Linked DNA regions of Rattus norvegicus. Each later gene encodes a partner of the first gene's protein in a complex. Links are inferred from orthologs where the notes say so. Each region holds a gene or a part of one and is shown in the gene's direction. Other genes may lie near its edges.

Region 1 (4,309 bases):
AGAAGTAGAGTGTACGTGATATTTCTTGGAAACTTGATTGTTTTTGTCACAAGATTTTTTTTCTAAAAAACAATTTTTTTTTAAGATTTATTTCATGTATGTGAGTATACTGTTGCTGTCTTCAGACACACCAGAAGAGGGCACTGGATCCCATTATAGATGGTTGTGAGCCACCATGTGGTTGCTGGGAATTGAACTCAGGACCTCTGGAAGAGCAGTCAGTGCTCTTACCTGCTGAGACAACTCTCCAGCCTCCTGTCACAAAGTTTTTTAATATTCCAGAGTCTTGGTTTTCTTTTCAGTAGAGAACAAGTAATGACACCTTCCTTGAATTGATAGGAAACTTTCAAAGGAGCAGTGTTGATGAAGCCCTTAGTCTGGGAGCTGGCACATAGCTAACACTGAATGGATGTGGGCTGCTGTTGCCCACAATACTCAGTACCGGGCAGACTGACACTTGGGTAAACAACAGCAGGCAGCATGACTGTCCTCAAGTAACCCAAGGAATTTGTGTAAATAGTTCTCCAATATAAATATAACTCCGGGCATCCGTGTTTCCACTGTGGAGTTACTTTATGCAACAGCATACCCTCAAACAAATTCTAGAGAGGGAGGGGGGATGGTGGTGGGAGGAGGACAAGAGGTGGAAGGAGTGTTTGCTCCTTGTTGCAAACTGATTAAAGGCTCAAAGTATTAGCGCTCTCGGGAAACAGTTCTCTTAAGGCAGCAGTGTTCCAGCTCTGTCTAAAGTGGGGAATACAATTCCACAAAAACATATTAATGTAATGTAAATAAATGTAGGCTTCTGGGTACCATAAAGCATTTTTTTAAACCAGAAAGTACTTATTGTTACTACATGAATCATGCTTTAATACTGTCTAGACTATTTCATTTTTATTTTAACATTGACCCTACTAAATTTATTAATTTATTATTTATTTGTAGAGATGGACAATTTGAAATATTACTCTCAAGGTTTGTGTGGCCTTCTAGAAAGACAGACTTGTGAGAGATTGAGTCTTATACTTACCTGTTTTTCTTTGCATGTGTTATATGTGGGTATGATATACAGGTACATGTGTGTCTGAGGGACATATTCATGTGAGGTACCAGAAGTAACAGTGGGTATCTTCCTTAGGTCCTTCTCCTGTGTAGCACACACTTATAAACTGAGCCTCTTTTTTCCCCTCAGTTCTGATCTAGTACTTAATCAATAGTGTTTTTGTTTTTCTTACATGTCATGCTAAACTTTTAGATCACTATTCTCGAATAATTTGCATTGTCAGTGGGACAATGTTCTGTGAAAGAGGTCTTCTGACAAGATGCAGCAAGATTCAGCCCAACACAGGAAAGTCACAATTCACTCTTGTTTCCCCCTTTTCTCTCCTCAGGTAGTTCCAATTTGCCAGCAGAATGAACACAGAAAGGGACTCGGAAACAACATTTGATGAGGATTCCCAGCCCAATGATGAAGTGGTTCCCTACAGTGATGATGAAACCGAAGACGAACTTGAAGACCAGGGGCCTGCAGTTGAACCAGAACAGAATCGTGTCAACAGAGAAGTCGAGAAAAAGAAAGAGACATTCCGGAAAGGTGACTGAGTGAAGGGCCTGCTGAGGGTGTGGTGTATGTGTGGATGCTCGACAGGGCAAGGGAAATGTACCAAAGTTGACTGGCCGATTCATGTGGTCTAGGAAGGTATCTTCCTCCTTTGATGTCTGTCTAGGGTGACACTGAGCAGGTACCCATCATCCCCAGTGGGGCAAGGGTGGGAGTGCATATCTGACAACTTCTGTCATAAAATCAGAAGGTTTGGTTAGTGCTGCAAAGGGAATTGTGTGTAGAAGAATTGGCTTGCTACTTCTGCACTCAGAAATCAAAAAAAGTATACATGCCAATCATAATAATAAATAGAATTTTATTGAAATGATTTGCATTACTAAATAGCCTAAGAACTAATGCAGATCTATTGATACCTGAGGCTGGGGAGGTAGCTCAGTGGGTGAGAGCACTTGCTGCATAACCATGAGGACCTGAGTTCAAGTCCACAGTACCCTTATAAAACAAAACAAAACTGAGTATGTCTACTCTCATGCCTATAGCCCTAGTTCAGCGATGGGCAGCGGGGCTGGGGGCTTTCTGACTGCTAGCTTAGCTCCAGATTCGGCAAGAGGCTTCGTCTCAGGGAAATAAGGCAAAGTGGTAGAGAAGGACACCTGATACCTTCCTCTGGCCTCTCTCTCTCTGAACACTTGTGCAAACACACCTGCAAATACAGTTGATCATGCACCATATACTCACGTGTCTACGTGGGTTGACTCACGTGCCCATAAATAGATCAACAAGAGCAATATCCACTCACAGTTTTTACACTGTGCTGAAATAAATGCACTTTGGGGAATATTCAACTATTCAACCAGTGGGTACTGCTCTTTGAAATTCGTCTTTCCCCTCTCATCAGAAGTCAGGACATCACACACTGAGGGAGGCAGCTTTCCAAAGAACTCTCAGAGGCCAGGACTCCTTGGAAGAGTGATATTGGAACATCACCTTGACTGTACCTGGGAATCAGGGCCTAATTCTGAGCTCTTGTTCTTTCTAATGCTTCCCTGTACTGTAGAGGACCTTGGAGCCTCCATACCTTTTGTTCAGTCACTCAGTGAATACAAAATGGCTCTGGTCCTCCGGAAAGAATTTTTGTTGGTTATGTTTGCGTGTTTACTTTAAAAATATTTGTATTAATTCTTTTGAGAATTTTATACGATGCGTTTTAATTAATTTACTCCCAATTCCTCCCTTTAATTCCTTCCAGATCCTCCACCACTTCCCTACCTGCTCAGTTTTGTTTCTCCTTTTTCTTTTAACTTAATAACCCAATAATTCCAACTCATGCTAGCCATATACTACTGGGCATGGGGCCATCCACGGGAGCATGGTCAATCAATCTACCAGGAATCATACACTTAAAGAAAACTGACTCTCCCTACCTCAGATCCGATAGCTGGAGCTCCTCCGTTAAGGGTAGGACTTAGAAACCCGTTTCCACTTCTTACTTGAATTTTGAAAGGCTTAACCCTGTACCAGCAGCTGCAACTGCTTGGAGTCTTTGAATGCCTTGGTCCTGTCCTGTCTAGAAGTCACGTTGTGCTCTGGTCTCCAACCTCTGGCTTTTACAGTCTTTCTGCCACCTCTTCCTTGATGATCCCTGAACTTTAGAGAGGAAATGATTATAGATGTCCCATTTGTGGCTGGGCACACATTACCGCATTTTGAACACTTGTGAATGTATGCACAGCCATTATATTAAAAAAAATCTTCTCTATTGGACTGAGAGAGCTACATTACACTATAGGTAAAGAGATACAGATTTAGAAAACAATTTCACTACTGTGCCAGCTAAGCAAAATAATAGTAACTTCATTCCTGTGGCCCACAAACTCCTCAACTGTTGGTTCTCGGCCTGCTTTGCAGTACCAAGCACGTTTCCATATGTGGAGGGAGGCTGAAAATTTGAGCAGAAAGTAGTTGGTTATTGGTACAGCATTCATGCCGCTATTATACAGACGGTCATCTCTTGCCATTCTGGCCATTATTACAACTCCAGAGTTCACAGCTGAGTAAGATTATCAACGGCTTTCCCCACCCAGCGGCCTTCAGAGCGCCTTCTAGTATTAAGAGAACTAGCCACCATAGAGGAGTCATGCTGTTAAGTCGCAACCTGGTTTCTCCATGTCCTCTAAGCTGTGTGTGTGTGTGTGTGTGTGTGTGTGTGTGTGTGTGTGTGTGTGTATGTGTTATCAGAAGAAGTTATTTTAATGGGTCTCTATTTGCCACGAGGGGCCAGTCTGCAGCAACCTATGCTTCTTGCCTGAGTCAGGCCCACTTCGGATGTAGCGTCTAAATGAGGAGCTTTTCACATGGAGGGACAGACAGGAAACATTTAAGGCTTTGCAGGCCATACGGTCCTTGTCAAAAGTGCTCTACCGTACCAATAAAACGGACACAGACAGTGGCTGCTTGGGCCACAGAACGTGGCTTATGTTCACCCTTATACCATCCTTGTGGACTTATTGGTTCCTGTTGCTTGCCCCACCCTGGCAAACAAATATGACTTTCTCTGTGGCTTGTCTGCTCCTGAGAAAACTGAATCTTTTCTCTTTAAACCCCAGGCTTGTCTAGAATTCAGGTTCATTTTTTTTCACTGGCTGTCCCAGATTCTAGCAGGAGGAATAGTACGTCCTTCCTGAGTGCCTCTCTGTGACTTCCAGCCCTCCAGATGATCTCCCCAGCTCAGCATTAGAACCACTG
Region 2 (4,607 bases), on another chromosome or scaffold:
TTGCCAAAGAACCCAGGGCAGGAAGCTGGAGGTGGGAACTGATACAGAAGTCACCAGGAACACTGCTTACTGGCTTGCTTCCTGTGACTTGTTCAGCCTGCTTTCTAATGTTCTCCAGGACCTCCTGCCCAGAGGTGGCGCTGCCCACATCAATCCTTAATCAGAATAACACACCTCAGGCCAGGCTTATGGAGACATCTTCTCTGTTGTGGTTCCTTCTTCTCAGATAACTCTAGTACAAACAAACAAACAACAACAGCCCAGAGAGTGCCTTATTAGAGTACTAAGATTCTATTTTGGTCTAATTGCCTCTTGTCTTCTACATTGTTCAGCATAGGGCTGAAGACTTGGAGGGACAACATTAAAACTGTTTTTAACAACTCTTTTAGTTTTCCAAGTCTCTTTGGATTTTTGGATGAGTGCTGAGTGCAATACATGAACAGGTATGCAAGAATAACAGAGAAAGCATTTATTTACACTATATGAGCTGGAGGGGTGAACTTCAGTACCTAAGGAAGATTTAATACAGAGTCCCCTATGTTCTGTGTATTCTAACCTATGTACAGACAAAAACAACAAACAAACCAACCCTCGAATCCCGGGCTAATTAGAGTTTTTATACAGTTTATAAATCCTAGTTCAACTTGGGCCAACACGTAAATGTCCTTGACTGTGGATATCGGCACCGTCCCCCCACCCAGGTGGAGGGTGAATCAGGCTTTTCTCTAGACAAGCAGAAGAACTGAAAAGAACGTCAGATGTAGTCCATAGCGGGGATTTTTCCCCTCCTTGCTAGTTTCTCCAGACAGTTAGAGAAGACATTCAAGGCTGCAAATTCTCCCAGTCTTTGATTCTTCTTAAAAGATCACTTTATTTTTTACAGAACTTTCCACCTTTCATAGCTATCAAGCCAGACTGGAGAAACTGGCTAGAAAATACTAACCCCTCCCATCTCCCCCACCACCACCATGCCGCCCTAAATAAAAAGTGGAGAATAAGAACTCCATGTTGAAATTGATGCAGTTACCATAATGTAACACCCAGGGCACTATAATTTGTGCTTGAAAACTAAGTGAAACCCTACTTAAGACTCACCCTTTTCCTTAAATAAGGAGGATTAACAGCCTTAACAAGCTAATAAATAATCAAGCCAACAGAACCCCACCCTGGAGCAAGCAAGCTCTGGGGTGGAACTTTCTTGTTTAAGTCAGGCTTGTGATTTGGGGGAAGTTGCCCAGGCCCTGTAGAAGAGAAAAGGAACCCGAGCAAAGGTAAGACCCATTCAGAGCCCATCACTCACCCACCCAGGAGTGGGAGAACTGGGAGGGGGGTAGGAGAGAGGGGAGAAGGGGGAGGAGAGGGGAGGGGAGAGGAGGAGGAGGAGCCAGAAAGGGAGGACTGTAGAGTCAGAGCCGGGTGAGGTGAGGAGCCTCGCCCTGCTCACCTGGGAAGGGCGCCATGCAGGGGCGGAGCCAGTCCCAGGTCACCCGGGCGGTGGCGGAACTGAGCAGCCGGGGCAGAGGCGGGGCGCCGGGGATTCAGCCTCACCTGCGTGGGGGGCGGGGCGGGCGCACCTGCGCGGGCGGGAGGCGGGGCCGGGGAGCAGCCGTCGAGCGGAGACGGCGAGTGGAGGCGGGAGGCCCGCCGCTGACCCGGGTTGAGCACCCACCGCAGGCCCCGGCTGAGACCCCGCCATGACCTGGAGCGCCTCGGCGCGGGGCGCGCAGCAGCCCGACAACACCGCCTTCACGCAGCAGCGCCTCCCCGCCTGGCAGCCGCTGCTGTCGGCCGGCATCACGCTGCCGCTCTTCTTCTGCGCCGGCCTGGCGTTCATCGGCCTGGGACTGGGCCTCTTCTACTCCTCCAACGGCATCCAGGAGCTGGAGTACGACTACACCGGCAACCCCGGCACCGGCAACTGCTCGGTGTGCGCCGCCAAGGGCCAGGACCGCGCGCCGCCGCCCAGCTGCCAGTGCTCCTGGAGCTTCACGCTGCCCGAGCTCTTCCCGGGCCCCGTGTACCTCTACTACGAGCTGTCCAACTTTTACCAGAACAACCGGCGCTACGGCGTGTCCCGCGACGACGCTCAGCTCAGCGGCCTGGCCAGCGCGCTGCGCCACCCGGCCAACGAGTGCGCCCCCTACCAGTTCAGCTCCGACGGCCTGCCCATCGCGCCGTGCGGCGCCATTGCCAACAGCCTCTTCAACGATTCCTTCTCGCTCTGGCACCAGCGCCAGCCCGCGGACCCTTTCGTCGAGGTGCCGCTCGACCGCACCGCCATCGCCTGGTGGACTGACTACCACGTCAAGTTCCGCAACCCGCCGCTGGTGAACGGCAGCCTGGCGCTGGCCTTCAAGGGCACGGCGCCGCCGCCCAACTGGCACCGGCCGGTTTATGAGCTCAGCCCGGATCCCAACAACACCGGCTTCATCAACCAGGACTTCGTGGTGTGGATGCGCACCGCAGCGCTGCCCACGTTCCGCAAGCTGTATGCGCGCATCCGCCAGGGCAACTACTCGGCCGGTCTTCCCCGGGGCACTTACCGGGTCAACATCACCTACAACTACCCCGTGCGCGCCTTCGGCGGCCACAAGCTTATCATCCTTAGCAACATCTCATGGATGGGTGGCAAGAACCCTTTTCTGGGCATCGCCTACCTGGTCGTCGGCTCCCTCTGTATCCTCATGGGCTTTGTCATGCTGGTCGTCTACATTCGCTACCAGGACCAGGATGACGACGACAATGACGATGAGTGATCTTGCCTCCCCTTCCTGCTTCTTGGCCAAGCCGCATTTAGCGGTGGTAGCCCTTTGCTCCTAACACAACTTAAGGCTCACTGATCTGTTGTTGTGGACGAAGGGCCTGAAGAAGGGAATTACACGCTCACTCTTAAGAGATACGGGACTGTTCTCAGGTTTTGGACTGCAGAGTGACACATCTTGCCATTTCTGCCCATCTCCCCCGTGGCTTACCGGGTGGACATGGCAGGTCCTTAAAGTCTACAGCATTCCAGGGCAAAGGACACGGAAGATTCCTGGATTGGAACTCATTAAGACCAACAGCCAGCAGTTGGATCCCATTCTGAATCTAAGCTTTTGTTCCTCCCTCTAAGCTTCAGCCACCCTCAGCTTTCTGGGAGGAAGATACCGGATGGGGTGGGGAAGTGTTGGGATGGAAAATTATGTCCACTGATGGCCTACAGAAGCTTGGGGGAGTGGGAAAAGCACATTTGTTAAAATCTAAGTCGATGAAGAGGCGCCAGGCCCCTCAGGTTCTGATACAGTAAGGCCAGGATGAGCAAGCTTCTCTGGAGTCCCTGTGCCCTTAAATTTGGGAATGCTGACCCAGGTTGGGCCTGAAGTACTCACCTGAGCTCTGTTTTTCCTGTAATAATTTGTTCCCACGAACGGTGGCAATCATAGTGTTGGTGTTTGCTCTTGAGCATAGGAAGGAAGCTTGCAATTTATGGGACAAGTGAGAAAAATTGCTAGGTCTAGGAAGCTGCAGATCTGCAGGGCCAAAGCGCGTCATTAAACGTGAAAGCAAACTTAACAAGAGGCTGTGTAAAACTTTGAAAATGCAAGCGCAGTTTGCATGGCTCAGGGGGAAGTGTTTTAACCTGAAAAACCGGACTGCAAATGATCTTGGTGAGGAGCTGTTTCCTTGGGACCTTGAGGGACCGACTTCTGCCTGACTTCTCACCCCCCCCCCCCTTTTGAATGAATCATCGTCTTTTTTTTTTTTTTTTTTGATGCTGAAGGGAATAATTTAGTTAACTTTGTGTTATTTTCACAAAGAATTATCTTAAGTCAGTGTCAACTCTCAAATGAAACGCATTTCTAGTGATCACGTTTAAGAATGATGAGGGATAGATATATTCTTATAAGCAAAATAGACTCGGGATTATTTTAGCCTTTAAGATAATGTTAAAATTACTGGGCTGATTTTATTTGATTGCCTACAATTGATATAAAGCTAGTCTCAGAGACAATTGGGACATTTTTATTTTAAACCATCCCCCCCTTTTATGGAACAATAATTTAAAAGAAAATTAAAAATAAAATTTTCCATGATACTGTCTTCCAGGTTCCCTGAAGAAAAGTTACTTGGCATTTGTCAGGGTGCTCTGGGCTGACTCCCTAGTGCAGTTATTTTCTGGTTGCTGGTGTATTTTCATTCCTCGAAGGCAGCACAGGTCTTGGAGTATGTTTTATGGCTGTCAGATGTTGAGCTACGGTGATTATTTCCATTCATTCTATTCTTCTGTTTTAGTTAATACTTATTTTTAGATGAACAGCATGCCTAAGATTAAAAAGTGACTTAAAATAACTTTTATGCATATCAAAGAAATTCTTTAGCAATTCCAATGTGTTGGCTTTCTGACTTCCGAATGTGATAACATTTAATATCAGGTCACATCTTGTGATATTCTTGACTATGTAAGCTGAACGTGACACTGTACTTCAGAACGCTTTATTTATTATGGATGCTTGGTTGATCAGCTCTCCTCTGTGTCAGGTAAAGACGTTTGCTTCATTTCCCCCTATATAGTTGAGGGTAACTATATTTCATTTTGTAGAGCATTAATCTTTTTGTTATAAGTTTTT

Evidence for each region.
Region 2: the proteins of Atp8b1 (region 1) and Tmem30b are in contact, whole or in part, in a cryo-EM structure (PDB 7VGH), measured with the Homo sapiens proteins. The link is inferred for Rattus norvegicus from reciprocal best matches to the Homo sapiens genes ATP8B1 and TMEM30B. Residues at the interface, in NP_001361314.1 of Homo sapiens: Trp362, Val366, Ser369, Ser370, Trp371, Tyr372, Leu373, Tyr374, Asp375, Gly376, Phe418, Trp421, Asp422, Leu423, Tyr426, Asp431, Pro433, His939, Trp942, Arg946, Tyr968, Phe971, Asn972, Gly973, Ser975, Ala976, Gln977, Leu1003, Gln1005, Phe1049; in NP_001017970.1 of Homo sapiens: Gly9, Ala10, His11, Gln12, Pro13, Asn15, Phe18, Thr19, Gln20, Gln21, Arg22, Leu23, Pro24, Ala25, Trp26, Gln27, Pro28, Leu30, Ser31, Ala32, Ala35, Leu38, Phe39, Phe46, Leu49, Leu53, Tyr109, Tyr111, Asn116, Phe117.

Annotation. Positions count from the first base shown.
Region 1 is NC_086036.1:60,366,489-60,370,797, reverse strand, and holds the start of Atp8b1 (phospholipid-transporting ATPase IC), read left to right. Parts: upstream 1-1,413; coding exon 1,414-1,594; intron 1,595-4,309. UniProt on the Homo sapiens protein: Catalytic component of a P4-ATPase flippase complex which catalyzes the hydrolysis of ATP coupled to the transport of phospholipids, in particular phosphatidylcholines (PC), from the outer to the inner leaflet of the plasma membrane.
Region 2 is NC_086024.1:97,987,576-97,992,182, reverse strand, and holds the start of Tmem30b (cell cycle control protein 50B), read left to right. Parts: upstream 1-1,636; 5' UTR 1,637-1,694; coding exon 1,695-2,756; 3' UTR 2,757-4,607. UniProt on the Homo sapiens protein: Accessory component of a P4-ATPase flippase complex which catalyzes the hydrolysis of ATP coupled to the transport of aminophospholipids from the outer to the inner leaflet of various membranes and ensures the maintenance of asymmetric distribution of phospholipids.